Linked DNA regions of Arabidopsis thaliana. The protein of the gene in region 2 interacts with the protein of the main gene of each other region in a pairwise test. Each region holds a gene or a part of one and is shown on either strand. Other genes may lie near its edges.

The links. Proteins that work in one complex are often made in the same cells at the same time.
Region 1: the proteins of TMKL1 (region 2) and GLN1.3 interact in a protein complementation assay, tested with the Arabidopsis thaliana proteins (one large-scale study listed by BioGRID).

What each region holds. Positions count from the first base shown.
Region 1 is NC_003074.8:6,095,190-6,098,944, reverse strand, and holds the start of GLN1.3 (glutamine synthetase 1.3), read right to left. Parts: upstream 1,745-3,755; 5' UTR 1,443-1,744; coding exon 1,369-1,442; intron 1,109-1,368; coding exon 1,069-1,108; intron 994-1,068; coding exon 890-993; intron 787-889; coding exon 738-786; intron 659-737; coding exon 552-658; intron 476-551; coding exon 388-475; intron 303-387; coding exon 99-302; intron 20-98; coding exon 1-19. Other genes in the region: PYD1 (pyrimidine 1), read right to left, coding at 2,656-2,812, 2,906-3,015, 3,102-3,285, 3,377-3,489, 3,683-3,755.
Region 2 is NC_003074.8:9,001,521-9,005,275, reverse strand, and holds the start of TMKL1 (transmembrane kinase-like 1), read right to left. Parts: upstream 1,708-3,755; 5' UTR 1,636-1,707; coding exon 255-1,635; intron 169-254; coding exon 1-168. UniProt on the Arabidopsis thaliana protein: Does not seem to have conserved a kinase activity.

The DNA of each region.
Region 1 (3,755 bases), 2.9 Mb from region 2:
CAGAGATCTCAGTGATCCTCTGTCAAAAGAGAAGATTATCATTAGCAAATTTGAAGCTTTGTATCTGTAATAGAACCGGACTAAAAGCAGATTAATACCTCGAGAAGGTATCGAGCAACCCAGACTTGATCACCAGAACTAATACCCTCAACAGGGCCGACTTGGAACTCCCACTGGCCTGGCATGACTTCTCCATTGATACCAGAAATACCAATACCGGCGTAAAGACAGGCCTTGTAGTGAGCATCCACAATGTCACGACCAATGGCTTTGTCAGCTCCCACACCACAGTAGTAAGGTCCCTGTTTCAACCACGAAATACATTTTATCAGATGTCAAAAATGTGTTGTTAAAAACATTAGGATCAAATGGTAACTGGATTTTTACCTGAGGGCCAGGGTAGCCACCAACAGGCCAACCAATTGGCCAGTTCACATCCTTTTGCATCAAAGTGTATTCTTGCTCAATCCCATACCTTTTGAATCACACAAAGAGACAATCAGAATCTGATTTAGATATACAGAGAGACCAACAGAAGAAGAAGAGTGTACCAAGGCTCCTCCTTGGCAACGTCGGGGTGGCTGAAGATCTTAGCAGCGTTGTGCCTCTTGTTGGTTGGAATAGGATCACCAGCTGGTGTGTAAGCATCACACATCACCTGCATATCTCACAATAATCAATAATCTGATTTATATCCAAGTTGAATCTGTCACACTAATCATATCAAATAAACCCACCAGGATGTTGTTGCCTTTCCTGAAGGGATCCTTGAATATTGCCTGAGGGCTTTTATTTAATTAACAAACAAAGCAAGACCAAGATTAAGATATGAATTACTTCATATAGAGACAACAAATAGATAAATAGAGATGAGGGATGAGCATAGTACTATAGAATGACTTCACTGTCTTCTCCAGCAGCCTGACCGGTGCTGGATCCGTCGTAGTTCCACTTGGGAAGCTTTGATGGATCAGTCACTGGTCCTGGTAGTGTCTGTATCATTCAAAAACAAATCAGAAAACAGAGGATGAAAAATAAACACATGAGGGAGATTTATAAATCAAATACCCTGGCTTTGCTTCTGATATCCATTCCAGATCCACCGATCCTGTTTATTCAACAATCATACAAAAAAACTCAAAAAAACTACAAGAAGACAAAAAAAAGAGACAAGCTTTATGTTTTTAACACACGTATTAATTCAAAGCAGGACAACGAAACACTCCATGAAATGAATCATGTTCATACCCAAACTCGCAAAAAGATCAATATAACAAAAGAGATAAACTTTTGGATCGCAGCAATATGAAGAAAGAACGATACATGACACTTGTGGTTAAAGTGAAACAGAGAGAAGCGAGATCGAACCATATGTATTCGGCGATGATTTTCCCGGTGGCATCGGTGAGGTTGAGGTTAACGAGATCTGAGAGCAGAGACATGGCGGCGTCGGAGAGAAAATAATCAGTGTGTTTAGGGAAAGAGAAGACGATCAATACAACTTCTCTCCTGAGAGTGTGTGTTTATAGAGAAAGAGCTTGTATTTTTTTTTTCCTCTCCTTAAATAATTACGGTGAATACATGATTCCAGTAAATTAGTAATTTCTTTTATTGTTGTGTGCTGATATTATCTCCTAGAATTGTTAATAAGTAATTAATACTCCATATAATACTATCGTCTAATATTCTCTTTTCCGTTAGGATTCTCCTGAGATTACAGGTTATTATGGCAACAATATTTAATCTATTTCTCACGGAAAATCTCTAAAAAGATTATATATACAGCCGAAAAATAAGAGTTTATATACAAAACGGATATGCGTTACGTAATAAATGTTTCCACTTCACAGCATCATTGAAATAACTCAACAACTGCTACCAATTTCCTTGATATTTATATTTCAATTTCTTCGTACAGTTTGTTTGTTTATGTATACTTTAGAAGATATATTAATGAGTAAATTAGTAAAAATAGAATTGTTGATGATCACGTAAACGTAGGTAGGTAAGGTAGGAGGAAACTAAATGTTTTTCTTTTTTGTGTTAAAATTTTTAAGTAGCTTCTAATATAGGTATCATTGCGATGCAGAAAGTCGTGGCCACTTTTGGCTTTTTGATATTTCTTCCATAGTCAATTTCTCATTAAGCCCGTTTTGTTGCCTTTTTCCCCTCTTCGGATTCAAATGATGCGTATAAAAATAAGCATGACCATATTTTCCTAGTAAATGTATCCAGAGTTGTTTGATTAGCTTCCTACTAATCTTGGTTCTATCAGCTCATACTTGATTTTGTTCAATATCTAATTTTAATGATATAAGACCAAGTTTCTTTAGCCAAATCACACCTTAATAAAAGGTTACTACCGCAACATCTTGCTTCATGGAGAAGGTCTATGGTATTATTATTGGCCAAAATTTAAGCCAACTTGAAGTAACAAAGAAATGGTTGCTATGGATGGATACAAGATGAATAATACACAACGAGAAGAAAATTAAGAAACATAAAATTTAGTTATTTCTTTTCAAGTGAGATTTAAGAAGTTGATTTTAAACATTTGAAAGAAAGAGCCTTCGTAATTTGCATGTGAGTTGTGAATGAAGTTGCTGAACCTTTATTGAAATATTTGGGTGGTCATAACTTCATCAGGCTACTAACTTAGTTAGAAACCATACTCTCAGTCTCCTTCACGAACCCATCCCCGGTCCAATCTTTATCAGATTTCAAGCCTCTCTTCTCAGCTTTTCTCTGCTCAACTGCTTCTTTCTGTCTCTTAACTAAATCTGTGTGTGTTGTAAAGTACTGCAGCGAATGCCTAAGCCAACAAACAACACGAAGAACTTGCTCAGCAAGCAACCAAGCAAGCGAAAAGAATGATATAAAAGTCTAAAAGGAAAGTTGTTCATACCCTCTGAACTCTTCTATTGTAGAGAAGTTGTGTTGTTTCATGAAATCTTTCAGCTCAGCGCAAAGGGTTTTCACATGACCATAGCCGTGCATCATCACACCGGTGCATACCTTCCAACAAAAAGCAGTAAAACTAAGTTTCTCTCAAGGCATAAAGTCTAAAACAAAAGAGTGAGGATAGTGTTGAGTTTAGTTACCTGTACAGTATTTGATCCAAGGAGAATGAATTCAGCGGCATCATAGCCAGTTTCAACTCCTCCAATACCCGAAAGCGAGCGATCCTCACTAAACTCAGATTTCATCATTTTGGCAATGTTCATAACTTTTGCCAGTGCAATTGGGCGAACGGCCTTATAAGAGTATCCCCCTGGAGTGGAGTAACTGCAAAACACTATCAACGTTAGCTATTCTTGTAATGCCATTACAAGATTTGCCAAAACGTTTGACATTATAAAAGTGCTATCTAGCTAACCCTTCAACGCATGGCTCAGGACGCAACGTCTTCATATCAATTCCCATTACACTCATGATTGTATTGATCGCTGCAATTCCTTCACATCCGGATTTTAGTGACACCCTAGCAGGCTATTCAAAAGAAAAAGCAAAACGGACATGGTCAAAGCAGAGCAAAACAGAGTAACAATAACTCAGCTTTAAGTAGGGAGCTTTTCAATAAACTTGCATCAAAGTTTTTTTTTCATTTTCTACAAGGATAGGCTTTATACAAAATGGTTGAAAAACCAGGAAGCAAAAAGGCTGAGAGAATTAGATGTCACACCTCAGTTATGTCAGTAATATTAGGAGTCATCTTAGCCCATACAGGAACTGTAGCTTTAGCATTAATCCATCCG
Region 2 (3,755 bases):
TTAGCCTTGCAAAGAAAAAGTCGTCCACAAGCACGTTCTTTGATCTAATATTTCCATGGATGATAGGAACTTCTTGTCCAGTATGAAGATAAGCAAGTCCCCTCGCTATTCCAAGTGCAATCTTGTGTCTCCTAGCCCAATTCAAAGCTGGCTTTCGAGGTTTACTTTCTGCACATCATTCAAACAACACATGAATAACAAAAATCAACCAAGAAAGATCCATGGCAAAAAAGATTGATGATGAAAGAAAATACCATGCAACAAATCATGTAAGCTTATGTTGGGAAGATAGTCATAGATGAGAAGCTTTTCTCCTCTCTTCCCTTGATAGAAAGCTCTCAAGGGAACCAAATTCTCATGCCGAATGCGTCCTAACTGCCTTATAACAGGCAGACAAGAACTTCTATCCTTGCAAGTACCTTCTCTCAATAGCCTCAATGCAATATTCCCTCCATCACTAAGCTTAGCTTTATAGACAGTACCATAGCTAGTCTTCTCCATAACTTGCCCAGTAGCATTCAAAACATCATCCAACGTCAGATTCTCACCACCTTGAAACACAACTAACTTTCCTTCACCGCCTTCTTTCTCACCGATTTCATCTTCTTCATCACCTTCTTCCAAATCATCTTCACTCTCTATACTACTCTTTCTTTTCTTGTTCTGCAAATACCCTATTAACAACGAGGCCACAACAACAGCTCCAGACATTAAACCAATCACCAGACCAGCAACAGCACCTGGACTTAACCTAGAGGAGCCTAGACAAGGCTTCAAAGGCAAACCACAAAGGCTAGGACTGTTCCCTTCGAAAGATTCTGCTCCAAACTTTGACTCACCAAAATCTGGCAACATCCCACTGAAGTTATTATGAGAAAGATTGAGACTTTCTAGCTCTAATACACCTAAACCCTCAGGAACAAGACCTTCAAAGACATTACTTGAAAGATCAAGTGACTTCACACCTTTAAACCTAGTTATAAACTCAGGAAACTCACCTGAGAACTTATTACCACCCAAATCAAGAACTTGGAGATTACCACAAGTCGAATTTGGCAAAGCAGGCTCAGGCAAAACCCCAGACAAGTTATTACCATGAATCTTGAAAGAGACAAGCTTATCACAGAGGTTCCAAATCGATGGAGGCAAAACCCCAGCTAAGGCATTACCACTCAAATCAACATCAGAGAGAGAAGAAGTGTAACCAAGCTCAAGAGGGATTGACCCACTTAATGAATTGATGTTGAGGAACACACTTTGAAGCATAGAGAACTCACCAATCTCTCTAGGGAGTGAACCAGTGAGATTAGCAGAAGGAAGCTGAAGAGAGAGAAGGTGAAGAGAAGAGTCGTTGAACAGAGAGGTATTAGTCCATTGTGGTGAAGAGAGGTCACTACATTGAAGAGGAGACCCATTTGAAAATACCCATTTTACACCTCTCCATTGACAAACAGGAACAGAGGAGTTCCAAGAAGACAACAGTAAGCTCTCACTGTTTCCTTGTAGTGAAGACTTGATTTTTCCTAAAAGAAGCTTCACATCAGAAGAACCAGAGAGAGATGTTCCACAATGACAGTGAAGAATTAGCACAAAGAAGAAGATAACATGAAGAAATCTCAAAGCTTCCATGCCCATTTCTCACAAAGAGACAGAGAAAGAGAAAGAGAGGTTAGAGAAGGGAAAGGTAAGGACTTTGAGTTTCAAGACTGGTCCTTTGTAGCAGAAAGAGAGTGTTGACTACTTTGTAAACACTTTAGTCAAACATCTCAACGGCTATGATTTAAACTCAAACCGTATTGATTATTAACCGTCCGATATAACCAAAAGTTGGAATCTTTATAATCAGAAAGTGTAAACCGGATTGATTGCTTACCGTCCGATCAAGTGTGGCTTAAAGCGATGGACAAGAATGGTATAAATCTACTGATTACTCCTGAATTTATAAAGTTACTTTTCTTTATAACTTTAATTGATTAAACTATAAGCACGCTCAAAGTTCGAATTAAGACTTTTTCTTCTGCCAAAATAATAAAATGATGTTTTTTTATCAAGGTAAATGTTTTTGTGTAATTTGGTTCATGGGATGTTTCATGCTCCTTGAATCTTGACCGTAGATGAGTCATTGGAGACATGAGATGAGTGAATCAACGGTGGATGATGGAGAAGGTGGAGAAATCTTAGATAGTTTTGGTTTCTCTAGAAGACAATTTGTTGGAAGTACACAGAAAATGAAGAGCCAATATTTTGAAAAATGGGAAATGTGAATATCTAAGTGAGATGAAGTTATGTTGTCTATGTCCTTTTGTGTATTGTCTATTTCGAAATTTCAGGGGTGTCAATCGAGTAGACCGGTCAGGTGTCCGAAACATATTTTGGATTTGGATTTTGACATCAAACAAGATTGAGTAATTTGTTTTATTGTTGGATCAAACACGCTCAATTTTTTTTGCGTAGTATTTTTTGGCATAGAAAAATAGAAGGCTTGAATGGTAGTAGTTTATACTTTATAGCATAGTTATTGGTTTTCCAAAAACCCATTTAATTATCCAATCAAGATTAGAGTTCGCATTTTTGTAAACAAAATGAAAAATAAATCCCACTTTAATGAGTTTTTGATAATTGTTTGCAGATTTCTTTTTGTAATTTTAAATCAATATTTTTTCCTTTTGGCAAAATCTATAATCCAAAACCACTTAAAAACTCAAATATTCATGGCCAAAAGTTGTTTTCTTAAACCTAAGCATATATAGATAGGAAAACAATTTCTAATATACTGTATTTTACAATGGACTAGTAAAAGTTTATGAATGATGTGAAAACAATTAGATATACTGAGTCACAGCAGACTAAAAAAAAATTTTTTTGTTGAAATAGATATCAAGTTTGGCTTTTAGTAATATAGAAGTGTCTGAATTTGGTTAAAAAATAATCATAGATAAAGAAATTTATAAAAGGCATCTGATGGTTACTTTGATTCTAATTGACACTTTTGTTCCAAACATTTGTTACAAGTCGGGAAAATTATTTATTGTTGTATACCTCTAAGGTGGCTACACCATTTCGAAATTCAATCCTTTTGGAAAATGAAAAAAATATCTATACATTTTTTTTTTTTGAACAACAAAAAATATCTATACATGTCGATCATATATTCATATGTAGAAAAAGGCATATATTGATGATAATAAGACCACATAATTAGAGCAATATATGTTCTCCAGATATAAATCTCATGCAACTTTATAGAAGAAGAAGTTAGAAACATGAGGAGTCCTTGATTAGATTACTGAGACAACTATGTATGTCACGTCTTTATCAACATCTGAAACTATTCAACTACCACGCTGCTCCTTTTGTAATCAACTTCACTTTCATAAGATCAGATTATTTCATCAACTCCACTTTCTTTTTTGTTTCTCATAGTCTCATTATAAGTCTTTTGTTTTCAAGTTGTCAACCGTCTCACGGCTTTCTAGTAGGGCCTGAATGGAGAAAGGTGTGGTGTGGATATTTGGCACGGGTCAGATCATTGTTTTTTTGAATATCTCAATTCCTTAGGTGCGGTCCAGTTTTTGGGTTTAACCAAAAATAAGAAAGAATAATGATGTATCACAAACAACACACTTATATGAGGAAAATTATAATCCTACCTCACTTGTTTTTTTCCTCCAAAGATTTTCGTTACTCAATAATACAAAGGGTTCAAGCTAACTAGATAAACAAGAAAATGATAGAATCAAAGTGGTAAGGAACAA